7 linked regions of the Macaca fascicularis genome follow. The protein of the gene in region 1 interacts with the protein of each later gene in a pairwise test. Links are inferred from orthologs where the notes say so. Each region holds a gene or a part of one and is shown in the gene's direction. Other genes may lie near its edges.

What was found.
Region 2: the proteins of CCNDBP1 (region 1) and AMPD2 interact in binary tests that used the Homo sapiens proteins (3 or more experiments, as listed by UniProt). The two-hybrid records come from large-scale screens. The link is inferred for Macaca fascicularis from reciprocal best matches to the Homo sapiens genes CCNDBP1 and AMPD2.
Region 3: the proteins of CCNDBP1 (region 1) and SYF2 interact in binary tests that used the Homo sapiens proteins (3 or more experiments, as listed by UniProt). The link is inferred for Macaca fascicularis from reciprocal best matches to the Homo sapiens genes CCNDBP1 and SYF2.
Region 4: the proteins of CCNDBP1 (region 1) and IMP3 interact in binary tests that used the Homo sapiens proteins (3 or more experiments, as listed by UniProt). The two-hybrid records come from large-scale screens. The link is inferred for Macaca fascicularis from reciprocal best matches to the Homo sapiens genes CCNDBP1 and IMP3.
Region 5: the proteins of CCNDBP1 (region 1) and PMP2 interact in binary tests that used the Homo sapiens proteins (3 or more experiments, as listed by UniProt). The two-hybrid records come from large-scale screens. The link is inferred for Macaca fascicularis from reciprocal best matches to the Homo sapiens genes CCNDBP1 and PMP2.
Region 6: the proteins of CCNDBP1 (region 1) and NANOS2 interact in binary tests that used the Homo sapiens proteins (3 or more experiments, as listed by UniProt). The two-hybrid records come from large-scale screens. The link is inferred for Macaca fascicularis from reciprocal best matches to the Homo sapiens genes CCNDBP1 and NANOS2.
Region 7: the proteins of CCNDBP1 (region 1) and STK25 interact in binary tests that used the Homo sapiens proteins (3 or more experiments, as listed by UniProt). The two-hybrid records come from large-scale screens. The link is inferred for Macaca fascicularis from reciprocal best matches to the Homo sapiens genes CCNDBP1 and STK25.

Annotation. Positions count from the first base shown.
Region 1 is NC_088381.1:19,779,816-19,784,227, forward strand, and holds the start of CCNDBP1 (cyclin-D1-binding protein 1), read left to right. Parts: upstream 1-1,491; coding exon 1,492-1,863; intron 1,864-2,143; coding exon of another isoform or gene 2,144-2,223; intron 2,224-4,412. Other genes in the region: TMEM62 (transmembrane protein 62), read left to right, coding at 287-613. UniProt on the Homo sapiens protein: May negatively regulate cell cycle progression. May act at least in part via inhibition of the cyclin-D1/CDK4 complex, thereby preventing phosphorylation of RB1 and blocking E2F-dependent transcription.
Region 2 is NC_088375.1:124,719,486-124,724,078, reverse strand, and holds the start of AMPD2 (AMP deaminase 2), read left to right. Parts: upstream 1-1,706; 5' UTR 1,707-1,849; coding exon 1,850-2,451; intron 2,452-2,933; exon of another isoform or gene 2,934-3,187; coding exon of another isoform or gene 3,188-3,440; intron 3,441-4,593. UniProt on the Homo sapiens protein: AMP deaminase plays a critical role in energy metabolism. Catalyzes the deamination of AMP to IMP and plays an important role in the purine nucleotide cycle.
Region 3 is NC_088375.1:209,858,796-209,863,378, forward strand, and holds the start of SYF2 (pre-mRNA-splicing factor SYF2), read left to right. Parts: upstream 1-1,579; 5' UTR 1,580-1,616; coding exon 1,617-1,640; intron 1,641-1,870; coding exon 1,871-1,978; intron 1,979-4,583. UniProt on the Homo sapiens protein: Involved in pre-mRNA splicing as component of the spliceosome.
Region 4 is NC_088381.1:52,864,697-52,867,900, reverse strand, and holds IMP3 (U3 small nucleolar ribonucleoprotein protein IMP3), read left to right. Parts: upstream 1-1,575; 5' UTR 1,576-1,608; coding exon 1,609-2,163; 3' UTR 2,164-2,686; downstream 2,687-3,204. UniProt on the Homo sapiens protein: Component of the 60-80S U3 small nucleolar ribonucleoprotein (U3 snoRNP). Required for the early cleavages during pre-18S ribosomal RNA processing. Part of the small subunit (SSU) processome, first precursor of the small eukaryotic ribosomal subunit.
Region 5 is NC_088382.1:91,241,537-91,246,012, reverse strand, and holds the start of PMP2 (myelin P2 protein), read left to right. Parts: upstream 1-1,353; 5' UTR 1,354-1,406; coding exon 1,407-1,479; intron 1,480-3,787; coding exon 3,788-3,960; intron 3,961-4,171; coding exon 4,172-4,273; intron 4,274-4,476.
Region 6 is NC_088393.1:53,998,662-54,001,661, reverse strand, and holds the end of NANOS2 (nanos homolog 2), read left to right. Parts: intron 1-1,010; coding exon 1,011-1,421; 3' UTR 1,422-2,479; downstream 2,480-3,000. UniProt on the Homo sapiens protein: Plays a key role in the sexual differentiation of germ cells by promoting the male fate but suppressing the female fate. Represses the female fate pathways by suppressing meiosis, which in turn results in the promotion of the male fate.
Region 7 is NC_088386.1:137,451,264-137,455,147, reverse strand, and holds part of STK25 (serine/threonine-protein kinase 25), read left to right. Parts: intron 1-30; exon of another isoform or gene 31-89; intron 90-2,314; exon of another isoform or gene 2,315-2,402; coding exon 2,403-2,633; intron 2,634-3,313; coding exon 3,314-3,370; intron 3,371-3,814; coding exon 3,815-3,884. UniProt on the Homo sapiens protein: Oxidant stress-activated serine/threonine kinase that may play a role in the response to environmental stress.

The DNA of each region.
Region 1 (4,412 bases):
TTCCAGCTTAACACCACTGAGTATTAACTGTGTATATGATACTGTACTACAAGTTGGGACTTCAACATAAATTAAATGATACCCGCCTCTAAGATGAATAAAAGGACATGGGCAAATACACAACTAGCCACAAGTCAGCTGTTGTGTTATAAGCAACTGTGCTTGAAGTAAATTAGCTAACCCCAAGACAGAAAGCAGCATATTCTTAGGATCCACTAATGATGCATTATTAAGACCAAACTCTTCCAAGGACTTGGGAGTAAGCTATGGCTCTGTTCTTTTCCAGCTGGCATTTTTTAACATCCCCTTGATGGCTTACATGTGTTGGAGCTTGCTGCAGCGGTGCTTTGGTCACAACTTCAGGTCTCATCTCCATCAAAGAAAATACTTGAAAATTATGCCTGTTCACCTACTTATGCTACTGCTGTACATCTGGCAGATTTATTCCTGCTACTTTCTTTATGCGACATACGGCACCCTAGCTTTTTTATTCTCCCCTTTGCGGACCTGGTTGACACTGCTGACACCTGTTCTCATTCGTTGTGTGTGGACACTGAACTCCGCCAAGCTTGGAATCTTCATGGTGCAGTTAAAAAGCCACCTGAGCTCCTGAAGGCCATGTCTCACCACTGGCAGCTGGGCAGAAGCCCAGCCTCTGTGTCTATAGCCTAGGCCTCTACCCCAGTAGCAGGCGGAGGGCCAGTATTGGTGCGTGAGCTTTAGGGAGCTGCTGCTCGTTTGGACTCCTGGATGTTGGAGGGATTACCCACTACTGATACCTGCAGAATGGACTGCAGAAAAGTCTCAAAAATAATGCCTTTATTCCTTCCCTCCTCAAGGAGGCAAAGAGTTGATTTATCTTTGTGAAGAGAAAACCCTTATCTAGGACACCCACAGGGTAGGGGTTGGGTGTGTGTACGGGAGTGTCTGAGGCCCAGTGTGTTTTTTAGGGGTTACCCCATGTAAAGCACCTACCGCTGTGCTTGAAATTCAGCAGCTGTCAAAGGTGCAATTTCAAGGGCAGGGAACCTTTGAGGATCTGGGCCCGACCCTGACCACGGCTGAGATTAGTTCCCAGGCCTGTTTTCCCGCAGGATTGTGGGCTCTCTGCTTCCTTAGTCGGAAGTGTTTTCAACTAATCAAATAAATGAATGAATGATGAATAAGAAAGACCGTGAGCCTGAGCCTTGCTCGTGTGGCCTCGCTTAAGGGGCGAGAGAAGGCGTGGCCTGTCCTGGCCTCTGGGATGGTTGGTGCTGGACCTCTGGGGACAGGGCGGGGCGGGAGGAGGCGGGGCCAGGCCTGGTCTCATAATGGGATGGGTGGTGCTGGACCTCTGGGGGCGGGGGCGGGGCTCTGGGGCGGGGCTGGACGGCTTGTTGCCGGAAACGAGCCATTGACGCTGTGGCCCGGAAGTGGAGCGGCTGTCGCAGTGCGGCTCCGGCAGTGGTGGCGGAGGCTTGTGTTTGCGGCCTTCGGCAAGCGACTGAGATGGCGAGCGCAACTGCACCTGCAGCCGCAGCCCCCACCCTGGCTCCACCTTTGCAGCAGCTCCGGCACTTGGCGGAGGAGCTGCGGTTGCTCCTGCCTCGAGTGCGGGGTGAGCTGACGGAGTTGGAACGCGCGACGGCAGGGGCGGGCTCGGGGAGAGGCCGGGATCGGGGAGAGGCCGGGCTCGGGGTCGCGGAGAGGGCGGGCGGGGGCGGCGGCGGCGGGGAGCCAGGCTCGGGCGAGGGAGGTAGGTCCGCTTACCTTAGCTTTTCCACTCGCCACCATTCGGCCCCCACACGCCACACCCGCAAGTCGGCGAAGCCCAGGAGACCACCGAGGAGTTTAATCGAGAGATGTTCTGGAGAAGACTCAGTGAGTGCGCCTCCTGTCCCGGCTCCCCTTGCCTCAGTTCCTTCAGCGTCCCGACCCCTTTCCCTCTCGCTCTCCCCCAGGGAGGGGACTGCCCTCCCCTGCTGCATCCTTTCTGTGAGATACCTTACCCACCTCAGCACCTGAGAGGGTAAACTAGAATTCTAACATCGACATTCGGGAGGTGTTTTTGAGAAGTCTGGGTCGGTAAGGGAACGCGTATCTTCCAAGTCCGTGCAGCGCTAATGTATTGGCACCTGCCTTCTCTTCGGCCACCCCCCAGATGAGGCAGCTGTGACAGTGTCAAGGGAAGCCACGACTCTGACCACAGTCTTCTCTCAGCTTCCACTGCCGTCTCCACAGGTGGGCTTCACTTTCCTGGAATCCTTGGGCTGCCGAGTTACACCTTAGGAATCCTCTAATTTTCTTTCCACCTTTTACACGCATGCCAGGAGATTTGTTTTCTTCGTCTGTCCAATGAGGTTACCGTTTTTTACTTCACAGGCTTGTTGTGAAGACCGAACTGCCAAGTGCATTTCCTGGCGCGGAGTAGGCAGGTCTTATAAATATTGGTTCAATCTGAAGTTCACCCTGGTGGTTTCTTTTCTGATAATTTTTTAAGCACTTTTTATGTGCTGGGTGTTTTCACATACTTGATGGCCATCTGACAGATGAGCAAGCAGGCTCAGAAGCTCAGGTTAAGATTTAAAAAAAAGCAGGGGAGCTAGAATTTAAATCAAGGTCTATCTGATGTCTAAGGTACACCTATTCTGTTATACTACATAATACCCTTTTTATATTATTTTTTATATTTAATCAGTAACCTATGCAGATAGTATAAAATTCAAAAGATATCAAAGTTAAGTGTGTTAAGTTTATCCTTCCATCCACTTTCTCATTTTTGTCTCCCCCAGTTCCTTTTGCATTATTCCACATACATTCTGTACATATATACATTCATAAACATTTATCTTGTATGTGTCAGCTTCTTTTTACACAAATGGTAAGATACCATAAACACTGTTCTGGACCTTCCTTTAAATAAATTAACAATAGAGCTTAGAAATCAACTCTTAGCAGCTAGTATAAAGTTGTTCCGTTCTTTGTAATGACTGCATGGTATTCAATAGACTAGATATAAACATAATTTAACCATACTCTATGTGGACATTTAAGCTGTTTCCAACTTAGAATTACTGCAAACAGTGTTGTGATGAATTACGTAATTCTGTGTATGTATGTATATCAGTAGAAAAAATTCCCAGAAGTGGAATTGCTAGAACAAAGAATTTATGCGTTTTAAATATTCCTTTATTATTAAACTAATGAAAGTAAACATGTTGGCTGTGACCACGTATGCTCTATGCTTAGTTTTTTCTAGAGCTGTGTATCCTTAATATGGGAGTAAGATTCTTTTAAAATGGCATATTCATTGCCTTATTTGATTTTCATAGTCAATAGTTTTAATTTCTCAGTCTACATATATAGGTGTTTGGAAAGAATATAGGTATCTTCTGCTGCATGTACCTACAGTGATAAACTCTCTCCTCCTCACATACCTTTGAGATTTTTTTTTTTTGAGGCAAAGTCTCACTCTGTCACTCAGGCTGAAGTGCAGTGGCACAGTCTCGGCTCACCGCATCCTCTGCCTATGCGGTTCGAGCAGTCCTCCTGCCTCAGCCTCTCGAGTAGCTGGAATTACAGGCACCCGCCACCATGCCTGGCTAATTTTTGTATTTTTAGTTGAGACGGGGTTTCACCGTGTTGGGCAGGCTAGTCTCGAACTCCTGACCTCAAGTGATCTGCCTACCTTGACCTCCCAAAGTGTAGGGATTACAGGCATGAGCCACCGTGCCTGGCCTACCTTTGAGATTTGTGATGAGGAAACAAGAGATGAATTGTATGACGGCACTTTAAAAGATTCATGGAAAATGGACTATTTCAAAAAGAATAGTTAATATTATCTTATTTTTCTTATCTGCTAACCCCTTTCTTTCAAATACACTTAGGACTTGCTGCTAAAACTCACTGCAAGTAAGATACCACAAGGAGGCAGCATAGAACTGATTTTCTATACATGCTCAGGACAGTAGTTTCACTCATAGATGAAAAATTAGAATTTGGATTTATTTGAAATATATACAAATATTCAAGTATATACATATATTCAAATAAATACATATGTGTATATATGTGTGTATATATACACATACATACACATGAATCATCATTGCCTTCTTGAGATCTCACCACTTTAGTCCTACTAAAAGATGGGTGGTTTTTTTTTGTTTGTTTTTTTAAAATTCCAATCTGCATGGAATGATACTTTAATAAAATTATGTGCTTGGATGTTGAATAAATGTCAAATTACCATAAAAGTTTCTAAACACTCTCAGTCACTGTCCTTATCTTATCCCTGACTGGTCACAGTTTGTAGACTGGCTCCAACCTGGACCACATTTGTATAGTATTGACTTAGAATTTAAGTCAATTGAGGACAAGGAAGATGAGAAAGCCAGTGACCACCTAGAAGGAAAATAGTTAACATCAAG
Region 2 (4,593 bases), on another chromosome or scaffold:
CTATCTTTAAAACTATGTCAACATTTGCATCTTATCAGAAGATACATGACATTCTATGTAGTTACATGGTGCTTGATTTTTGAGATTCATTTTATTCATTCTTGAGAGTCCATCAGCCTCAAAATCCCTAAGAGCCCCAAGACCAATTCAGTGGGCCACAAATGTAAACAGAATAGTTTAAGTCTGGGGTTAAGACCCAGGGAAGTCTGGGTTGGGGGGACTGTGGAGTCAATTATGGATTTTTACCAATTTTTATTGATTTCTAGTCCCTTGATTATAAAAGTTATGGGTATGTATTATAATTTTCAAAATGCAAATAAATAAAATATACCCCATAATTCCACCACTACAGATAATCATTGGTAAACTTGTTGGTGTGTTTTTCTACCCATGTATATCACATAAGTAGGACCATTCTGTATATAGTGTTTTGCATCCATTCTTTTACCTAACTTTATATTGTAAACATTTCCACATCATTAAACATTTCTCCAAGAACAATTTTTAATGGCTGTATTTCATGGTATGAATCTTCCATAAACATTCCCCTACTGTTGGGCCTTTAAAGTGTCTAACTTTCCTACGCAATACACATTGTGGTGCTGAGCAACTTTTTGCATACATATTTTTCTGGCAGCTTTTTTTAGAAAAACTCCAGAAAATTGATTACTGGGTCAAATAATAAGAACCTTTTTGAAACTTTTGATTATATATTACCAGATGGCTTTCAGAGAGATTATATCAGTGTTCAAGGCCACCAGTAATGTGTGTGCACACGTACGTGTGTGTGTGTCTCCCATCTCACTAACTATACCCTTGCCACCTGCATTAGTGTTTGTTTTTTTGTTTTTTAGTCTTTGCTATTTTGATAGGTAAACCTGGTTATCTCTGTTCTCTTTTTAGTTCTATGGATTCTGTGTGAGGTGAAGAGGCCAAGTTTTTTTAAGTTTGTTCAGGGAACAGTAGACAGGGATCAATGGAAGTGGCACCAGATGCAGGTGGAGCACAGGGTTCAAAGTCCAGAATCCAGCGTGGGGAGAGAAGAGGCAGGCAGAGTTTGGGAAGGAACTCTGCTGTGGGGGTGGTGAGAACTGGGAGGAGCCAGACAAACAGCATTAGAACAACTGGGTTTGGGGGGCAAAGGCCTCCCACAAGAGGGAAAATAGGGAAGAGATTAATTCCTGCTAATGCATTTAATTATATTCAGTGAAGTCTTAGGGACTTCCCTCCACAAGTTCCCTTTAGGTCGGATTTTCTACCCCTTGGCAGTGGGGATGCTTGTTGGATAGGATGTCTGCAGACCCCAGAACGGCTGTAAGTGAATCAACCTGTGAGTGTCAATAGAGAACCAAGGCCAAGGCTAAAGCAATGGTAATAATAAAAAAGTGCTAACTACAGGCCAGGCACAGTTCTAAGCAGTTAACTTATATTAACTCATTCATCTTAACCACCATATAAAGCAGGTACTCTTACACTCATTTTACGGAAGAAACAGAAGCACAGAGAAGTTAGGTAACTTGCCCAGTATCAGTCAGGAAGTAGGTGAAATCTGGATTTGAACGCAGACATTCCGGCTAGAGTTAAAGCTCTTAACCACCAAATACAGAAATGTGGGAAGGGGAGCCAGAATTGCAGGGCACAGCCTCCTACCTATGCCGGCCGGAAGAAAACAGACGATCAGGTGAGATTGCAGGGGCAGGACTTCTGCTTAAAATGAATCCTGGGACGATAACAACAGCTACCTTTCACTGGGCCCTGACTTCGTGCCAGGCACTATGTAAAGGGACTTTACGTTTAATCTTCACAGTAACCCCTTTGAGTGAGGTACTGTCATTACCCCATCTTACGGATGAGGAAGCTGACGCACGAAACTGGCCCAAGATCAAGGGTCAGCTCAGGCCAGCCCTACCACGGTGTGGCGGCTGCCCACGTGGCGCCCAGGAAGAGAAAAAAATGGCGAGGCGGGGTCGGCAGGCGGAGGCGGGGCCAGGCGGGGGCGGGGCCAAGGGCCGCAGAGCCTGGCGCGGAGCCGGCGAGATTTTCGTGGGATCGCACCTGTTGCGTGACTCCACCACAGTCCGGCCGCGGGAGTCCGACCCTGAATGCCCAGGGAGTGTTGCGAGAAACCTGGACGAGTTCCGGGTCCCGCTCCCTTGGGAGCACGTGGCCTACCCGTCTCTTGATTGCGATTGCGGGGTTGGGTGGTCGCGACACCGGGGTCGCCTTGAGGCCAGTCTGGCTGCCGAGATCTGCGGGAGTCCACCTCCGGCCAGCTGGCAATTTTGAAAGACTGCCTTACTTTCCCCATCTCAGTGCCAGGGCAGGGGCCCTTGGAGTGACTTGGCCGGAGTCTGGGGCCCGACCACCCTGCCCTCTCTCAGGACCCGGGCTTTCTGCTGTGCAGACCCTCGTGGGCAGCCTCCCCTCGGAACTCGGACACCATGGCTTCAGGTGAGTGTGTGTACGTGTGTTGGAGGGAGGGTCTCTGGGACAGAGAAGTGCTGTGGCCAGGGTGACAAGAGGGTGGGAGTCACAGCACAGCAGCAGGACGTAGGGAAGGCGGTCAGCTCTTCCTACGAGGGCCTGGGGAGCAGAGCCAGAGTGTGCAGAGCCAGAGGAAAAATCCGAAGAGGCTAGGGTCTCTGTCCCAGACCCCCAGACAAGGGGGTCTCCTGGCCTTCCTGCCTTCCTAGGAGGTAGCTATTTGGCGACGGTGGAATTTTCCCAAGACAGGCCCCTCCCTCCTGGGCTGGGATTCTCGGTTCTTCCCCCTCCTCCCAGAGCTGAGCTACCCCCGGAGCTGAGGGTCAGATGTGGAAGGAAAGTGGGTGCTGGGTTTTCACGGAGTATGCCAGCCCTGCCCCGGGAGGACTGTGTTTGAGCTTGGACTCACTCGCTGCTGAATTCCTATTTGTTATTCTTTTTTCTTCCAGACTAGCTGGAAGGACCAGCTAGCCTGGACTTTGGCTTCTTTGCCCTGGAGCCCTGGCATAATGGGGTGAGGGCTCTTGGTGGGTTAGTGGAGAGCTGGGGGCTGGCCCTTCCCCATCTTCTTTTCTACCCACTCCCTCCCCCGCCCCCCGCCAAGCCCAGCCACCATCAGTCACGTCACTCCTGGGACTGAGGAGGGAGGGGAGGGATAGGGGGCAGAGATGGAGGCCCCACTCCCCGAGGTTGCCTAGACAACATGAGAAATCGTGGCCGGGGCCTCTTCCGCCTGCGGAGCCGCTGCTTCCTGCATCAGTCACTCCCGCTGGGGGCGGGGCGGAGGAAGGGGTTGGATGTGGCAGAGCCAGGCCCCAGCCGGTGCCGCTCAGACTCCCCCGCTGTCGCCGCCGTGGTCCCAGCCATGGCATCCTATCCATCTGGCTCTGGCAAGCCCAAGGCCAAATATCCCTTTAAGAAGCGGGCCAGCCTGCAGGCCTCCACTGCAGCTCCAGGTGAGTGTGTGCTTCCTGGCCTCAGGATAGATGCTGGGCTCTGTCTTGCCACCTCTCGCCCAAGCTGCTGGTCCCCTCAGAGGAGGCCACCTCCTCTGGCATCCTCTCTGTGGTGGTGCCTCTTAACCTCAGTCCCAGGGACAGCCGGCTTGGAAGGTGGGGTGAGGGGTGGCCGGGGGTGGGGGTGGATCTGAGATATCTGTGCCAGGGATGCTGTCCTCTGTCACAAGGAGTGGGCATGGTGTGGGTGCAGCAAGAGGTGTGTGTGCACACGTGTCAGCGTGTGCATGTGCTAAGACTGCATGTGGAGCATGTGTGAATGGAGTGGGGTGTGTGGGACTGTTTTGTGGACTGGCCACTCTGACTGGTGCCTGTGCCTTTACCAGGCAGGCTCAGGCTGTTCTGTGACTAGTTCCACTTTTTAGGACCCCACATCTAGATCCCCCTCACTGGGGGTCTGACATCTGGGCACAACCATTGTTGGCTGGCATCCCACAACTGGGGGCTTGACTGTATCTATCGTTTGCTATTTGCTCGTTCCTTGTCTATGTCATGAGCCTCCTTAGGAGTATGGGGCGTCCTTGGTCAGGTCTGTGCAGGCTTCAGACTGGGGCTGCTGCCCGCACTGCGTGTGATCCTGCACCCTTTGGTTCGTCTCTCACTCTAGTAAGCATCTCTGCATCATTTGGAGCAGGCAGCGAGGTGCAGCAGCGCCTGTCTCAGTGAGGGCTTGGCTGCCTGGCTCTGTGCTTGCAGAGGGCTGTCTGCCTGCTGTCTGCTCCCAGGCCTTGTGGCTAAGGAAAGACCCACCCTGACTTTGATGACCAGATCATGCTGACTGCCCCCCACCCTTGCAGCTGTCTGTAGCCATAGTCCTACTATCAACCTCCTATATTTTCTTGTTTCATTGAAGATGCCTAGTGCTAGGTCTGTACTGCCCTGAGGGTGTTCTCTGTGCCCAGGTCTGTGCCATCCAGAAAGGGTGTCCCCTGGGTGGGGCCCTCCCTGGCCCTGTTTGGTTCAGCAATAGGGCAACTGATATGGATCTAGCCCAGAACTGGATACCCTTCAGTGGTCAGATGGTAAGAGCATCTGACACTTGTGGGGTCAAAGCCGTGGACACCCCTGTGCCTACTGAGGCAGTCCTGGCAGT
Region 3 (4,583 bases), on another chromosome or scaffold:
CCTGCCTCTTTTTTTAAAACTTTATTTTTATGTCTGGGCACGGTGGCTCACGTCTGTAATTCCAGCACTTTGGGAGGCTGAGGTGGGCGGATCACGAAGTCAGGAGTTCAAGACCAGCCTGGTCAACACGGTGAAACCCTGTCTCTACTAAAAATACAAAAAGTAGCTGGGCATGGTGGCAGGCACCCGCAATCCTAGCTACTCGGGAAGCTGAGGCAGGAGAATTGTCTGAACCTGGGAGGCGGAGGTTGCAGTGAGCCGAGATCAGTGCCATTGCACTCCAGCCTGGGTCACAGGGCAAGACTCCGTCTCAAACAAACAAAAACCACACACACACACAAACAAAAATTCTTTTTATTTGTATTATTTTTTAATTTAGAGACTGATTCTCACTTTGTTGTCCAGGCTGGTCTTGAACTCCTGGGCTCAAGCAATCCTCCCGCCTCGGCCCGGCAATTTGCTGGGATTGCAGCCATGAACCACCACACCTGGCCAAGACCTGCTTCTTGGAGAAGGTGACAACATGCTAAGCTCTAAACGGAAAGAACTTTCCACTTACGGGAATGAATGGCACTACAGGTTCTTCCTGCCCACTACAGACAAAACCAATTCACTGAGAAGTGCTACTGCAGTATAGAGTTGTATTAATGTGACGCTGGCCTCAGGGAAGAAGGGTTACCACTCAAGTAAGTTTTCCTGAAGGGTCAGCCCAGAGGTTAGTGTTTTTCAGCTGGTTTGGTGTGGGCAGAGCAACAGGGAATGGGTGCTGCTGATTGGTTGGAGATGCAATCATAGGGGTGTGGACTACACTCCTCAACAGCTGAGCCCGCCTCTTGGGGGAGGAGTGGGGCAGAGGAAGCGGTTGGGTCATGAGTCACGAGTCCAGGTGGGGTCACTTAGTTGCCAGAATGCGAAAGTCTCAAAAATGCCTCAAAAGACCAATCTTAGGTTCTACAATAACGACGTTACCTACAGGAGTAATTGGGGAAGTTACACATCCGATGTCCTCCGAAACAATGGCTGGTTATCGTTTACTACATTTTAGCAGAATTCGCCCCTCATATACCTAACCTCCCGGTCTTTCATTAATTTCATAAAGGCAGTTTCAGCCCCCGAACAAGGCGGGGGACTGTTTAAGGGAGGGACTATGCTCATCCTTGCTTAAAAGTTAAACTATAAATTCTCCCATGGTGAGCTTGGTTTATGCCCAGGAATGAGCGAAGACAGCCGCCCTGCGAGGCTAGAAGCAAGTTGGAGTGAGCCATGTTAGATTTCTCTCACTCTTTGAAAAGGCGGTTTCCAGGAACAGCGTTCAGAGTAGGGGAGTTTCTATTAGACTCCTTTTGGTCATTTTTTTCTAGTCCTCCGATTCTGAGCTCTTCCCAACCCTTTTCTTGGCCACTCAACTCCCGCTGTCCTTGCCCACGCGGATTCTCGCGGCTGCGCGAGACCCTGCCCATCCAAAACGTTTCACAGCTAAAGGGTCCCAACTTCCGGAGGCCGCCCGGAAGGGGCGGGGCTTATGGTAGCTCATTTGTACGCATCGGCCCGGTTGTCTGAAGGCTGACGGAAGTGCTGTATGTTGTTGCCGGAAGTGGGAAGAGAGAAAGGTTGTGATGGCGGCTGTCGCTGCATCCGAGGTGAGTTCGAGCGACTCTACACCGGGGGTTTTGTTGGTGAGGGTTCCGGGGAGCGGCCTGGAGAGAGGTGGAGGCGAAGTCTAGTTTCGCTTCAAGGAGGCTCAGACACTGGGATCAAGTCGGCCGTGGAGGCCCTAGGCCCAGCCTGTGGGGACCGGCGGGGACTCGGCCTGGGCCGTCCTGGGAGAAGCCGACCTGGCTCTGCCTGAAGCCAGTTCTCTTTGCCGCAGGTGCTGGTGGACAGCGCGGAAGAGGGGTCCCTCACTGCGGCGGCAGAGCTGGCCGCTCAGAAGCGCGAACAGAGACTGCGCAAATTCCGGGAGCTGCACCTGTTGCGGGTGAGTAGTCTTGGAGGCCGGCTCAGATCCGTCACCTGGCCAAGCCTTTGCGCTTTTGTAGAGGGGACGAGGAAGCCACACCACTGCGTCTGACAGACCAACAGAGCAGGATCATCTGAGAGGAAAGCTCTGTTCGGTGGTACTCAACCCTGGCAGCACATGGGGATCGTTATGAGAACTTTTGAAAATATACCTGTTCACTCTAGCCCCCCTCCTACCCACATCCAATTTAATGTATCTGGGTTAGGTTTGCGAGTCTCCATTACTAACAACCTCCCTGCTCTGTGATTCTAACAAATTCTTCATTTTACCTAGGGAAATATGTAGAGCTAGAGACAGGAAGAAACTTGTGTCAGTAAGAGACCTGGTTCACTTGATTTAAAAAATAATCTTCTATCAGAATCTGTTTGAAAAGGGAGAAAATAATCATCTGTCTCTAGGACTTCTGGGGGAAAAGAATAAAAAGAAAATTAAAAAAATAATGGGAAACCTTTGAAAGTCTACAGCGTGGTAGTTCCCTGGAAGTGCAGAGGAGGAGAGATGAATGCAGTTTGTGGGTCTCCAGGGGGTGCCTCGTAATAGGTGACACCTAAACTACTGTTTGAAAGCCAGACAACTAAAGGAGTTAGAGAAAGATAATCCAAGCAAAGGGAACAAATTCAAAGAAAATTTGTATTAGGGATAAGAGTCCAGCAAATAGCTGGCTGCAGTTGGAGCTGAGAAAGAGAAAAGCAGCCCCTATTTCAGCATGGAGTGACCTGACAGGCCATGGGTTCACAAAACCCCAAAATCACTCTGACTGTTGTAGTGAGACAAAACAAAGAAGACTTCTTGAAGCACAAGAATGACCACGTATTTCTTTATTCTGGCTAACACCAGTGACAGTTATTACCAAATACAGCATTAGTCTCCGTTACTTCTGCCTCCTATATAAAAATTTAAGATACCTAATTGTAGAAAGCCTCTGCTTTCTGACAGTACTCAATCCAGATCCTTAACCCTCACCCCAGCCACCTGATACAAACCCAAATCCTGGAACGAGCCCCTGCTAACGCCCTTTCACTCAAATGCCCACAGTTCCCCGTGGTTTGCTCTCTTCTTCTATGCAACAGACTCAACTTTGTTGACCATACGTGTGTTCTTGTTGTCTTTAATTGCAGGACTTTTCCAGAGCCAAGAATATACTAGGGATGGTAGTTGGGAGGAGTCTCTCTCTTTGCCTAGGGAAAGTTAATCTAATAAACAATTAAAAGGACATGCTTAAATATTTAGAGTGATTGTGTAAGGAACACATGTTTGGAAATTAGGAGGCAGGGCTTCATGGACAAACTGCCACCAGCTTATGACCTAAGAAATGTCTAACTTAAGTTTTCCTTAAGATGATATACTCATTTTGTTTTATACAATTAGGTTTATTTAAAAATAGACACCTCTCCCCGCTACCCCAAGCTTCAAAAAAAAAAGACTCTTCAATGGTACTTCAAATTCCTTTCATTTTTCATTTGCCAATGTAAACTGTGAAAATATTTTTAAAAGGAGGGGAACTTGGAAAGCATTAGAGGCATTAAGATAGGTATTAAATCCTCTAACCCAAATTGAGGCATTTTTCTTGAATCAGGATTAAAAGATAATTGAGGCCCGGTGTGGTGGTGCATGCCTGTAATCCCAGCACATTGGGAGGCTGAGGCGGGCAGATCATTTGAGGCCAGGAGTTCGAGACCAGCCTGGCCAAACTGCAAAACCCTGTTTCTACTAAAAATACAAAAAATAAGCCAGGCATTGTGGCACATGCTTGTAATCCCAGCTACTTGGGAGGCTGAGGCAGGAGAATTGTTTGAACCCTGGAGGCGAAAGTTGAAATGAACTGAGATGCTCCAGTATACTCCAGCTTGAGTGACAGAGTGAGATTCTGTCTCAAAAAAAAAAAAAAAAAAGAAAGTGTCTTTCACATCATGTGATGTAATTTTGTTTTTTGAGGTGTCTTGCTCTGTCACCCAGGCTGGAGTGCGGTGGTGCAATCTTGGCTCACTGCAACCTCTGCCTCCTGGGTTCAAGTGATTCTCCTGCTTCAGCCTCCCGAGTAGCTGGGATTACAGGTGTGCGCCACCATGCCTGGCTAATTTTTGAATTTTAAGTAGAGACGGGGTTTCGCCATGTTGGCTAGCCTGGTCTTGAACTCCTGACCTCAGGTGATCCACCTGCCTCAGCCTCCCAAAGTGCTAGGATTACAGGCGTGAGCCACCGTGCCTGTCCGATTTAATATTAATGCCAAATAAAGTCTACTTAAGTGCCACTATAGTATGGTCCCCAATGTTGCAAAACCTTGTTCTGATCCAATAAAAAGGGACCACACAACTCAATAGAGGCAAAGCTGATTTTAACCCCCAGGGCTCTGGAACAGCAAACCAGTGCAACTCAACACATTTTTCTTGATTACATAAAAATGTAGACCCTATTAGGCCATTCCCTGGCTTAAAATACTATGATGGCTGGCTGTTGCTTTTAGGATAAAATGGGGTCACCTTATTAATATGTCCTGCCTGACCCTCCTCAAAGAAGGCAAAATGTATCTGGATTTATTTTCATGTTTTAGCTGACAGACTTC
Region 4 (3,204 bases), about 33 Mb from region 1:
TCCAGATATCGAATTTTTTTTAAATATATATATTTTTTGAGACAGGGTCTGGCTCTGTTGTGCAAGCTGGGGTGCAGTGGCACCATTGTAGCTCGCTGCAGTGTCCAAGTCCTGGGCTCAAGTGATCCTCCCACCTCAGCCTTCCAGGTAGTCAGGAATACAGGCACACACCACCATGCCTGGCTAATTCTTTAAGAATTTTTGGCCGGGCGCGGTGGCTCACGCCTGTAATCCCAGCACTTTGGGAGGCCGAGACGGGCGGATCACGAGGTCAGGAGATCGAGACCATCCTGGCTAACACGGTGAAACCCCGTCTCTACTAAAAAATACAAAAAGCTAGCCGGGCGAGGTGGCGGGCGCCTATAGTCCCAGCTACTCGGGAGGCTGAGGCAGGAGAATGGCGTGAACCCGGGAGGCGGAGCTCGTAGTGAGCTGAGATCCGGCCACCGCACTCCACCCTGGGTGACAGAGCGAGACTCCGTCTCAAAAAAAAAAAAAAAAAAAAAAAAAAGAATTTTTACAGAGGCAGGATCTCGCTTTTATCTTTTCTTTTCTTTTCTTTTTTTGCCTAGGTTGGTCTTGAACTCCTGGCCTCAAATGATCCTCCCACCTCAGCCTCCCAAAGTGCTGGGATTACAGGCGTGTGCCACCGCGCCCCACCCAGAAATATTGTATTGTAAAAGACAATGAAAAGCATACAAAACAAAAATGATCAGTGAGAAGTTAAATGCCTGGGCAAAAAGGGGTTAGGTCTGCAGCGCTACACCAGATGTAACTTACAGCTGCAACTAGCCGAAACAGCATTACATTTGTTAACTCAATACTTGGTGGCCAGAAATTTATGTCAGGATAATTCATTTGAGCACAGACTAAAGGGTTTGGACTTGTACTTATAGTCCAAGTTTCTCAAACTTGCTGGGTTTTATGAATCATCTGACACCTTAGTTAATAATACAGATGTCCAGGCGGCTCCCTTATAGATCCCGATTATAATGTGCGCTTAGGAAGCGGCCAGGCAATCGGGATTTCATGGGTTCGGTGCTACCCAGCCCAACGTGACAATGAGAGATCGCTCTGCTTGCCAGGTGAAGGACCTGACGCTGGCGGGAGGCGGGGACTACCAGGTCAGTCCCAGGACAGCCGGCTCCGGCAAGCTCCCCCACGGCATGGCAAGAGCCCAGTGGAAGTTAGCACAGTAAACCCAATCAACAAGCCGCAGTCACCCTTCTTCCCCAGAAATGGCCTCTTCAGCTCTTGCGGGGGAGACTCTGAAAGTCCCCAAAGGACAGAAGTCTAGGAGGAAATGATTGCCGCACAAAGGGATACAGTCTTGGCTACTAAAAACCCCGCGTAGCCGCCTAGGGACCCGCCCCCCCGCGCAATGCTTCTACCCCCTCCCTATGCAAACGCGCAGAAAAGAAACGCGAGATCCCAGTGCTTGGGCGTGGTCCCACCCTGGCCAATGGAAAATGAGGGCGTGACTTTAAGCCTTTCTTTCATTGGCCCAGGGTCCCAGACCGTCCAGGTCTTGGTGCGCCGCGGCGGAAATCGCGCGGGTACTGAAACGCACTATCTGCTTCGGGTCCTGGTGCTGCGGCTGCCGCCATCATGGTGCGGAAGCTTAAGTTCCACGAGCAGAAACTGCTGAAGCAGGTGGACTTCCTGAACTGGGAGGTCACCGACCACAACCTGCACGAGCTGCGCGTACTGCGGCGTTACCGGCTGCAGCGGCGTGAGGACTACACGCGCTACAACCAGCTGAGCCGTGCGGTCCGTGAACTGGCGCGGCGCCTGCGCGACCTGCCCGAACGCGACCAGTTCCGCGTGCGCGCTTCGGCCGCGCTGCTGGACAAGCTGTATGCTCTCGGCTTGGTGCCCACGCGCGGTTCGCTAGAACTCTGCGACTTCGTCACGGCCTCGTCCTTTTGCCGCCGCCGCCTTCCCACCGTGCTCCTCAAGCTGCGCATGGCGCAGCACCTTCAGGCTGCCGTAGCCTTTGTGGAGCAAGGGCACGTACGCGTGGGCCCTGATGTGGTTACCGACCCCGCCTTCCTTGTCACGCGCAGCATGGAGGACTTTGTCACTTGGGTGGACTCGTCCAAGATCAAGCGGCACGTGCTGGAGTACAATGAGGAGCGCGATGACTTCGATCTGGAAGCCTAGCGGATCTCCCACTTTCCATGGCTGTCTTTTACAGATGGGAAAACTGAGGCCTGATTCTGGAGATTCTATGAGGGTGCTTTCCCCAAGGGTGTCAGATGGTCGTAGGTTCTTAAGAACTTGATTCATCAGTGGCAGGCCTTGCATAGAGCCACGGGAGATGCGTCCTTGTTTTCCAGGAAATGTTCTTAGAACTTGGACTACTGATTATTAATTGACTCTGCCTTGGAAAGCAGTGGGAAGTAAGTTGGTGCTGCACTGGGGTATTGTTGGCTTCTTGTGTTGGAAACTTGGTAATCTAAAAGGAAAAACCGCAAATCCCTACGCCCTGTTTCCCTTTATCTAGTCTTGTAGTTGGACTGGTTCAATTCGTTTAACTCCAATTCTTGCTCCTGGCCGTGGTTAAGCTGTGTACAGATGATGGAGAGTTTGGCCTTAAGTTTTTATAAACTGAGCGAGACTAGTGTTCAGGATCTCCTCCCTTGTTTAAATGCCAATAAATGCCCCAACTGCTTTGTAAGTGCAACTTTTTAATCTGTCTGGTTTTCCTTTATTTTCTCTAGAGATGGAGTCTCGCTCTGTCACCCAGGCTGGAGTGCAGTTGAGCGATCTCGGCTCACTGCAACTTTCGCCTTCCGGGTTCAAGCAATTTTCCTGCCTCAGCCTCCCGAGTAGCTAGGATTATAGGCACCCGCCATCGCGCCCGGCTAATTTTTGTATTTTTAGTACAGTCAGGGTTTCACCATGTTGGCCAGGCTGGTCTGGAACTCCTGACCTCGTGATTCGCCCGCCTCGGCCTCCCAAAGTGCTGGGATTACAGGCATGAGCAAACTGTGCCCAGACTCTGGTTTTCTTATATAGAGTCATATTTATAGGTCCTAGGAGCCCAGAGAAGAATAGGGTCAGCAGCGAGCGATCTGCCTATGGATGAGATGTGCAACAGGGGCCAGATGTGGAGGATGCAGGATGTTGTACAGGATTGGGCAAATTTGTCACTTTACCAGTCCCTTCCTTGGAATGAGTGTTTTGGCAGAGCTCTTCCTC
Region 5 (4,476 bases), on another chromosome or scaffold:
TGTAAACAGTGCCAACCTGTTTACCAAATGTATAAAACTTGGTAAAATCAGTTGTTTCACAGTCAGAATTCATGCTAAGGTTAAAAAAAAAAAAAAAAAAAAAAAAAAACCTGCTAGGAAAGATATAGCAGTAATTAGAGATTCTCAAGAGCAACACTTACGTTCTAAGTGGATTTACATTTGTTCCCCTTGGCCAAAGACTGGGGCTTTGGTGTAATATAGTAGGCTGGATCTTTTGATTTTTTTACCCCACTTGATTTTTGAGAAGAGCAAGAGTGTTTCTAGCCAATCATGGTGCTATCAGCATCAGGTGATCTCTGGCCAGGGCCTCTGTGCATGTAGCATGTATGGTATAGTATAATAGAAGCAGGTTAAGATCATTGTTCAGAACCCAGGCACTGGCAGTAATGTTGGGTTCAGACCCGTCCTCTTCTTATTCAACTTTTGGAAGTAATTTACCTAATGTCCCCAGGCTCATTTTTATCATTGGTAAAATGGATGTAATAATAGTTCCTAACTCTTGGAGTCAGTGATATAATTAAATGAGATCACCTGTATTAAGCACTTAGCACAGTGTCTGGCCCATAGCGAGTTCTGAATATACATTAGTACTCTTTCTATAGGAAATCCTCTTTATAAAATTGTAGATTCATTTTAAATGACTTAAACACAAATGGTTATAGTATCCAGGAACCTGCTTAGTTCAGATTTTAAGTATTTTTAGCTGAAAATCTTTGTTGTGCTCAAAGAACATGTTATAGTGCTACTTCTTGTTTCATCACATGAATACAATTTCTGTGCTCTGCTGCAATAGACTGACTTCTTTGTCTGCCTACTCTGCCTGCCTGGGATATGTGAACTATGCCAAGCCTTCTTACCTATGAATACTTCCTCACACTGCTCCCCTACATTTCTCTCCCACAACATATTTGTGACTGTTATCATAATACTTACAGACATTTTCCTCTTTTTCTTCCCTTTCAATAAGAATTCTTAATTGTGCAGACTCAGGATTGAGAGTGACCGACATGCCTAAACACACACACATTCATTCACGATCACATAATTCATGCAGTCTTTTCCAAAGCATGAAGGGCCTAAGCCTTCTTATAAATGTAAGATCGATCAAAAAATTTTTGAAGATTCAAATAGTAATCTTATTCATTTTATAAATTTTTTTGGAGACAAAAGGGAGTATTATGTGGGGTTTTCTTTTATCCTATTGGGCGGGCAGCTGGCCATTGAAGAGCCATTCATTGCTTAGTCCCGACACTGCCTTTCCCCATTGGCTCTCTGTAAGAGTCACATGCTTTGTGCGTCCTTGAAAAGAATCTTCTCAGGCCTCAGCATCTTATCTGAGTCTCCTGAATCCCACTTAGAACTGTGTTGAGCTCTCACCCATCACGATGAGCAACAAATTCCTGGGCACCTGGAAACTTGTCTCGAGTGAGAACTTTGACGATTACATGAAAGCTCTGGGTAAGAAATGCTTTTTGTTGTTCTGCTGAAAAGCTCCTTTTTGAGAAAGCTACATGACATTTTCATCTAACACCTTTAACAGGAGACGGGGGGGTTTGCACAGGCCGCAGTAATTCCTCTTTTAGGATTAATCTTTTTTGTGTCATTCAGACAATTTATTTGAATTTTATTTGTGGTAACTTTTAATAGACTTTAACTTAAATGAGAGAGCTGCTTAAATGCATGAAACTCCCACTGATTTCAAGGGCAATTTCATACCAAGAGAATTTTGGTTGCAGATCCAGAGGAAAGAAAGCTTAAAAGCATAGTCAACCCATTTTCTGGCTTTTCTGAGAGCTACGTTCATAGCAACTAAAGTGTTCATAAAATAAGGAATTGAATATAATGCAAATCCTAGAAAACCTTAATTTAAAATTTTAATTTTTAGCTAAACTAACAGTTTTTTCTCTCTACCTCTAGGTTGTCCTTTATTACACAATCATGTAGATACAGAGAGTTTGAAAAACAAAAATACTTCCTAAAATACTATGTTCATAGCCTAGGGAAGTTACTGAGAGAAAAAGAACTGGAGTTGTGGCAGTAAACTCAAACTCAATTTCACTATCATCAGACGTTTCTGGAGTTGGAGGAGTGAATGGAGATGGAAAACCGAGTCATTAGTTACAACAACTTTATTTTATACTATTTCTAGAGTATGTCCCATCGATATAAACACAATAGATATGAAGAGTCTTTGGGAATTTTCAGAACTATATGAATATAACAAAGAGTGATGCCAGTGACCTGAGGTTGCTGTGCTTGTCAAAGTGCCTACAGCTTTACTTAACTGTTCAGAAAGCTTGTATAAAATGTTCTATTTTAGATAAAATGAGCAAAGTCATGTCATTGTTGCCTGGAACACTAGGATGAATTCATACTGTGAGACCGGTTAGATTTAAAGACTTCACTTTACAGCTGAGGAAGAAGCCAAATAAAAGAAAGTGTCCGTGAAGGATTCTCTAATTTCATTGTTTTCCAGTTTAGTGTGCAAAATAACACCTTGGGATTTGGTAAATATAAATTCTCAGGCTCGGTCCCAGAGATTACGATTTAACTTGAAAAACATTGTCCTAAACTGTATAAAATAACAAAAGATTAATCAGAATTTGAAGAAAGAATATAGTTTATAGTTTATTGGCTATAACTCTTAACTTCTTATTCAGTATATAAAAATTTGAGATCGTTTTAACTGGAAAAAGTATATCCAAGCATTGAGGCTTCCTGGAAAACTAGTTTTTCTTTCATATTTTTCTATTTGACGTTTTCCTTTTTCCATCTATTTTATAGTCTTGGTAATAATGGTAGTAAACTTAAGAGTCTAATTGTGTTTCATTTTTGAAATGTAGAAGAGTTTTTTAAAAAAAATTTTATCTCTCTATGATCATTTATAATAGTATAGATCTCAAAGGTGGATGGATAGTTGTTTTCCTACCAGCTAGATAGAGAAGTCACAAAATTTCAGAAGTGAGATTCTATCAAAAATATGAGGGGAATACTTCTCCATATCCATAATATGGTATTGAGGGAAAATATCGTGGAACAATATGTATATGCTATAGTCTTATTTTAAAAATATATCTATAGTATTTGTACATGCAAACTAAAATCTCTAAAGTGATTTATGCAAATCTATAATTAGTAATTTTCAATGGGGAATAGGATTGGATGTGATAAAAATAGATGACTTGCACTAGCTATTTCAGCTGGAAACTTTAACTCTTGAAAATCTGCAGACATTGGCCAGGTGCAGTGGCTCACACCTGTAATCCCGGCCCTTTGGGAGGCCGAGGCAGGCAGATCACGAGGTCAGGAGATCAAGATCATCCTGGCTAACACGGTGAAACCCTGTCTCTTCTAAAAAATATAAAAAATTAGCAGGGCATGGTGGCGGGCACCTGTAGTCCCAGCTACTCGGGAGGCTGAGGCAGGAGAATGGAGTGAACCCGGGAGGCAGAGCTTGCAGTGAGCCGAGATGCACCACTGCACTCCAACCTGGGCCACAGAGTGAGACTCCATCTTAAAAAAAAAAGAAAAAGAAAAGAAAAGAAAATCTGCAGACATTACTTTTGGAACAACAAAACCTAAAACGTGTGAGTCCTGGGCATGTATTTCCATTGGGAGTGAAACATGGGAGGAGACACTTAGTAGTAAGTGATATTACCTGCCATCGACACACCTGGGGCACCACTGAGCAAAGGATGTGGCCACCACAGCCTGTTTGGCTATGCTCTCTTGGTCACCATAATTCTAACACTATCTTAATTTTCAGGTGTGGGGTTAGCCACCAGAAAACTGGGAAATTTGGCCAAACCCACTGTGATCATCAGCAAGAAAGGAGATATTATAACTATACGAACTGAAAGCACCTTTAAAAATACAGAGATCTCCTTCAAGCTAGGCCAGGAATTTGAAGAAACCACAGCTGACAATAGAAAGGCCAAGGTAATCTTTAATATTTCTCTTCAAACTTGGCCCAGTGGGCTGCTTGAGAGAGAGGAATATTCCTGCCAGTGCTTAAAAGGATAAACTCCATTCTGTTGAAAAGCAGTGTATCTCCTAAGACATCTATTATGAAAATGGTTCAGTACTGAAAGAACTGCTTCTTTGATCAACAAATTTCAGGCAAGTCAATTGCATGACCTTGTCTTTGCAGAGCATCGTAACCCTGCAGAGAGGATCACTGAATCAAGTGCAGAGATGGGATGGCAAAGAGACAACCATAAAGAGAAAGCTGGTGAATGGGAAAATGGTAGTGGTAAGAGTATTTTTACTTCTAAATAGAGAAATAATGCTATATAAATAATTTGATTATATTATTTTCAAAACATTATTTGTTCTTTGGAATATGAATGGATAAAAATGACTAAGAATAAAGTAATAGTTGATGCTTAAGTGATATTTAAACTATTACAGACTCATCTTCAAGTACTGACCCAAGATTTTAGAAATAAAATAGGC
Region 6 (3,000 bases), on another chromosome or scaffold:
TCCTCTGCCACTTCTAACCTCAATTCCCAGTTCCCAGAGTGAGTATGAAACCCGACTCTGCCATTTCCCTGCTGTGTGACCTTGGATACATTCCTTAACCTCTCCAAGCTTCATATCTTTCTCTGTAAAATGAAAATAATAGTCCTGGCGCAGTGGCTCACGCCTGTAATCCCATCGCTTTGGGAGGCAGAGACAAGTGGATCACCTGAGGTCAGGAGTTCCAGACCAGCCTGGCCAATATGGTGAAACCCTGTCTCTACTAAAAATACAAAAAAATTAGCCGGGCTTGGTGGTGGGCGCCTGTAATCCCAGTTACTCAGGAGGCTGAGGCAGAAGAATCGCTTGAAGTTGCAGTGAGCAGAGATCACGCATTGCACTCCAGCCTGGGTGACATAGCGAGACACTGTCTCAAGTAAATAAATAAAATAAATCGGGTCATGTTGTTATTATTATTTTTGTCTGTTTATTTTTGTAGAGACAAGGTCTCGCTATTTTGCCCACGCTGGTCTAGAGGTCTTGGGCTCAAGCGATCCTCCTGCCTCGGCCTCCCAAAGTGCCCAGAGTGCAGGTGTGAGGCACCGCGCCCAGCCTGGTTGCTATGATGATCAGCAGTAACTCTGAAGTCTAGGAAGGGTGTAGCCCCTCCAGCCTAGGGGTGGGGGATATTTGCAGACATGGGCTTTCTTTGAACAGATAGGGAAACTGAGGCACAGAGAGTGGAACTGTCTTCCCAGAGGACACAGAGCACCTTGGCAGCAGAGCAGGGACCAGAGACCAGGGGAATGATCTCCTTCCAGATCTCTGTGAAGAATTAAAGTCAGATAGGGGTTATGGGCAGGGAGTGGGCCCTTTAAATCCTAAGCTCCACCTTTGCTTAGAAGAGTCTCTGGGCATTATAAAAGGGGGTGCAGCTCCCTTCTGCTCTGGGAAACGCCTGCTGCCCTTGCCTACGGGCCCCCAGCCCCAGCCCCTCTCCAGTGGCCCACCACCCCTGTTTTGGTGCCATGCAGCTGCCACCCTTTGACATGTGGAAGGACTATTTCAACCTGAGCCAAGTGGTGTGGGCGCTGATCGCGAATCGGGGGCAAAGGCTGGAGACCCAAGAGACTGAGGAGCCAAGTCCTGGGCCCCCGTTGGGGCAGGATCAGGGGCTGGGAGGATCAGGGGCCAACGGGGGCCTGGGCACCCTGTGCAACTTCTGCAAGCACAACGGGGAGTCCCGCCACGTCTACTCCTCACACCAGCTGAAGACACCAGACGGCGTGGTGGTGTGTCCCATCCTGAGGCACTACGTGTGTCCCGTGTGCGGTGCCACCGGTGACCAGGCCCACACGCTCAAGTACTGCCCGCTCAACGGTGGCCAGCAGTCCCTCTACCGCCGCAGCGGGCGCAACTCGGCCGGACGCAGGGTCAAGCGCTGAGGACCGTGAGATGTCCACCACCCGCACCCCTGACCCTCCTGGTCTGTCCCACCCAAGTCCCTAAACTCTCTCCTCCAGTCACCCAGCCCTTTGGAATTTCTGGCCCCCAGAACTCCACCTTGGCTGGATCCTGAAACAGTGGAGACTCCTGGGAGCCAGGCCAGCCCCGCCCCCTTGGACCTGTCAGCTCTGGGAGCTCTGGCCTGTGGGCGTCCCAGGGTCCTTGGTGCGCGGGAACCCTTCCTGCATGGCCTTGTAGCGCCCTCTGGGCCCCGGTTCATGGATCTTTTGTTCTCGTGGGGCCTGCTGGTGACAGGAGCCCTGCCCCTTCAACTTCTCCGTTCCTTGTGGAGTTCTTGGATTTTTGAACCTCCAGGATTCCACGGTGCTGTCCCAAGCCAGCCCTTAGGAGACACTGAAGAAGGCTGGCTGAGAAGTGCCAACCCGAGAACTTCAAGATGGGATGTCCACTTAACACCAGCCTTCTCCACCTTCACCCTTCTGTAGAACCACGGTGTCATCGTGGACCACACCGGTTCATTCCTTCCCTGACCTCAGCACCCATCCGCCAGGAGCTGAGTGGGACGCTGGAGAGCACCGTGTCACTGGAGGGCACGGTGTCTTCATAGGCTCACCTGCGGATGGAGAGTCATGGGGTGAGCTGACACCTTTCAATGCCCCCTGGTTGTTCTTCCCCTTGTTCAGCCCATTGCACTCGGCACGTGCCCCCATCCCCAAATCACCGATGGGTCCTTTTTCCCAGCAAGAAGCACATCTTTCCACTACCTCCCATCCGACCCCCCAAATCGTGATAGTTGACTAAAGAATATTTTTTTTTCCTCCTGTATTTTTCATCCTCCAACTTTTAAGTCGAGGAACCGCCGATAAGACAGGGGTTTGAGTACCCGGATGGGAAAGGCAACGGCCTAGCTTTTATTTTAGGGGCAAAGAAAAGAAGGACCCCAGTCAGATTTTAAGTTGTTCAGTTTTTGGCACAGGGCTGGGACCCTGAGTATTGAGCTCTGGTGAATAAAAAGGTTTTTCAGTCGTCTTTGAAATGGCTGTATCTGTTTCCGTCTTTGGTTTGTCTGTGAGACAAGGTCTTGCTCTGTCGCCCAGGCTGGAGTGCAGTGGTGCGATCTCGGCTCCCTGCCCGGGTTCAAGTGATTATCCTCCCTCAGCCCCTCCAGTAGCTGGGACTACAGGTGCGCCCCACGAGGCCTGGCTAACTTTTTTTTTTTTTTTTTTTTTGATACGGAGTTTTGCTCTTGTCACCCAGGCTGGAGTGCAATGACGCAATCTCGGCTCACTGCAACTTCCGCCTCTCGGGTTCAAGCGATTCTCCTGCTTCAGCCTCCCGAGTAGCTGGGAATAAAGACATGCATCACCACACCCGGCCATTTTTGTATTTTTAGTAGAGACGGGGCGACCGAGTAGCCGGGACTACAGGTGCGCACCACTACACCCAGGTAATTTTTATTTTTGGTTTTTGTTTTTTCTTTATTGAGGTGGAGTTTCGTTCTTGTTGCCCAGGCTGGAGCGCCAACGGTGCAGTCTTGGCTCACTGCATCCTCCAGTT
Region 7 (3,884 bases), on another chromosome or scaffold:
GCCCTCCCCTAACTGCCTTTCCTTCCCCAGAGTTCCTGTCACCTCAGGGTCTGGGGCTCAGAAAGGGATGTGTAGCAGCATGTTTCAAGGTGAGGGCCTGTGTGCCGCCCCTTCCACCCTCCTGGTTGCAAACCCTGGGAGGTCAGCTAATTGGCAGTTTCACAAGGAAATGTCGCCTTGGGCTGGTGCAATGTCCAGTTGGCTTCAACCAACTCCTCTGCTGGGCTTAGGCCTGGGATGGACCCTGCACACGTGTCCAGGGGGTGAGCGTGGGGGCTGTATGTGGTGTACCCCATCCTTGGAGGGCACGGTCTCCCCAGGCCCAGGAACGTGGAGGGCACCCCCATCCAAGGACCCGTCCTGTCTTCAGCACCAGAATGAGTTGGGCCTCAGTGTTTTGGGGGCATAATTAGTCGTTTTGCCTTTTTTTTTTTTTTGAGACGGAGTCTTGCTCTGTCACCCAGGCTGGAGTATAGTGGCACGATCTTCACCTCCCGGGTTCACGCCATTCTCCTGCCTCAGCCTCCCAAGTAGCTGGGACTACGGGCGCCCGCCACCACACCTGGCTAATTTTTTGTATTTTTTAGTAGAGATGGGGTTTCACCGTGTTAGCCAGGGTGGTCTTGATCTGCTGACCTTGTGATCCGCCCGCCTCGGCCTCCCAGAGTGCTGGGATTACAGGCGTGAGCCACTGCGTCCAGCCCGTTTTGCCTTTTTATGCTGTGCCACACTAAATTGGCATCAAGACCCTTGATGTTGTGGGGGGAGGGGCCGTGCATGGTGGCTCACACCTATAATCCCAGCACTTTGGGAGGCTGAGGTGGCAGATCACCTGAAGTCAGGAGTTCAAGACCAGCCTGGCCAAGATGGTGAAACCTTATCTCTACTAAAAATACAAAAAATTAGCTGGGGGTGGTGGTGCATGCCTGTAATTCCAGCTACTTGGGAGGCTGAGGCAGAAGAATTGCTTGAACTCAGGAGGCAGAGGTTGCAGTGAGCTGAGATGGTGCCACTGCACTCCAGCCTGGGTGACAGATTGAGACACCATCTCAAATAAGTAAAAAAAAGTATGGAGGCCTGAGGACACACCTCTCCTGGCTTCCCCTGGACTCTGGGCCTGGGTCACAGACCAGGCACCTTCCACACCGGTGGCTCAGAAACTTTCAGGCGTTGCTTCTTTAAATCTGAGGACTGTGGGAGGCAGTTTTCTGCATCAAGAAAGCATCAGTTTCTGACCCGGCGCTGGTGTACTTGTCAGGAGGACTTACGGAGGGGTGAGGGAAGCCCTTTCTAAATATGTGGCTTTTAGGAGTGAAGGAGAGCTTGGTTAACACATACCGAGAGTTTTTTGTTTTTGATGAGTTTTTGTTTTTTTTTTTTTAATTTAAAAATTTTTTTTGAGACAGAGTTTCACTCTTGTTGCCCAGGCTGGAGTGCGATGGCCTGATCTCGGCTCACCACAATCTCCACCTCCTTGGTTCAAGCGCTTCTCCTGTCTTGGACTCCCAAGTAGCTCGGATCACAGGCATGCGCAACCACACCCGGCTAATTTTTTTGTATTTAGTAGAGATGGGGTTTTACCATATTGGTCAGGCTGGTCGTGAACTCCCGACCTCAGGTGATCCATCCGCCTTGGCCTCCCAGAGTGCTGGGATCTCAGGTGTGCACCACCAAGCCTGGCCTGTTGAGCTTATTTTTTAATAGTTTCAGATTTATAGCAAATTAAGAGCTCCCAATCCCCTAACCCCCAGGGGCTATTAACCTATTAACATCTCTCATGGGGCTGCATGGTAGGTTAGATGAGGCAACCTTCATGCCTTGTCATCACCTAAGGTTCCTGTTTCCAGCAGGTTCACTGAGTTGGCCTGGCCTCTTTATACTTTCCGGGGACTTTTTCCCTTGCGTGGAGAGTTGAGTTTAGGTTTAGGCTTTTTTTTTTTTGGAAACGGAGTTTGATTCTTCTTGCCCAGGTTGGAGTGCAATGGTGCGGTCTTGGCTCCACTGCAACCTCTGCCTCCTGGGTTCAAGCAATTCTCCTGCCTCGGCCTCCCAAGTAGCTGGGATTACAGGCATGAGCCACCACGCCCAACTAATTTTTTCATATTTTTATTAGAGATGGGGTTTCACCATGTTGGCCAGGCTAGTCTCGAACTCCTGACCTCAAGTGATCCACCTGCCTCGGCCTCCCAAAGTGTTGGGATTACAGGCGTGAGCCACTGCACCCAGCCAAGTTTAGGTTTTAAACAAAAAGGGGTAAAGGAAGAAACCAGAGAAGAATTGAGGCGCACTCGCTCGGACTCCCCCTTCCCTACAGGTCCCTTCCTCCCCAGCAGGGCAGCCTCTGCCTGTCCCAGCCTCTCGTGACCGGCACTGTCTGCCCTCTGTCCCCACCGGCCCCTCAGCACTCTCGAGTGGACCCTGAAGAGCTCTTCACCAAGCTTGACCGCATCGGCAAGGGCTCGTTTGGGGAGGTCTACAAGGGCATCGATAACCACACCAAGGAGGTGGTGGCCATCAAGATCATCGACCTGGAGGAGGCCGAGGATGAGATTGAGGACATCCAGCAGGAGATCACCGTCCTCAGCCAGTGCGACAGCCCCTACATCACCCGCTACTTTGGCTCCTACCTAAAGGTGCCTGTTGGGGGGAGGCGGCGGCGGCCCTGCTGGTGGTGTGCCCGGCCCTCTCTTCCATGTCAGAGGGACTGAGTGACATGCCAGAGGGTGCAAGGCGGCCTTGACAGTTCAGTGCATGCCCTCCAGGAAATTGCCCTGGGCAGGCAGGGTGCGAGCAGGGTCCACGAGGGTCATTCGGCTCTGAGTGGCCATTGGGACCCACTTGCCTGCCTGTGGTAATGCAGTGAGGGTGCTGCCAGGAGCACTCTGGGGCGCCCCTGCTGGCAGTGGTGAGGGCCTGTGAGGAGCAGGTTTCTGGTGGTGCCAGGGTCTGGGGTGTAGGGAACGCTGTGGCCATCCTGCCCAGGAAGATGATGGGTGTGTTGGGCCATGTGCTTGCCAGCCATGCCCTCTTCCCAGCCCTGTAGGACTGGCTCAGCAGCCTGGCTTTTGACGGGGTCTTGGTGAAGTAGACTTAGCCACTGTTCTGTGTACTCAGTCCGTCCTCTGAGCATCTGTAGCAGCAGTGTGGCAGGCGGGGAGATGGGCAAGGCCGAGGGAGCCCCTTCCTGTTTAGGGTTCTTGGCAGGGATGGGACCGGTGGGGCCTGGGCCCTGGCTGACTCCGGCCTGACTCCCACCCTGGAGCATGCCCTTCCTCTCACTGCCAAATGCTGATGGGTTTGTCTCCGGTCCCAGAGCACCAAGCTATGGATCATCATGGAGTACCTGGGCGGCGGCTCGGCACTGGACTTGGTGAGGCATAGGCCATGGCAGTGGGGGGTCATGCAGTGTCCGAGTCCCCTGCTCCTCAGACTCATGGGCTCCAGGGGCCACCTCTCGTTTGGTGTCATGGCACATTAGGTGTTAATTACGAATCGTCTAAAGCAAAAATGAACTGCCATCCGCACATCTGCCCAGTTGGTGCTGAAAGGGGTCCTGGCCTGTGGGAGTGGGCGGGGGCAGGCACGCTGGGAGATGGTTGGGAGCCTGTTTTTCTGTTACATGACAGTAAAGCGAAGCTGGTTTATATGCTTTAGACCACCCCACTCCCGTCTGAAAGTTGTGTTTGAGAAGTAAAGGAACATGAAGCCCCCGGCTATCTGCAGGGACAGCCCTCCCCTGTCAGAGAGACAGGAGAACTCAGGCATTGGGCCTGGGACAGGAGCTGAGGCCCTGCTGTCCCACCTTCCTCTCCAGCTTAAACCAGGTCCCCTGGAGGAGACGTACATTGCCACGATCCTGCGGGAAATTCTGAAGGGCCTGGATT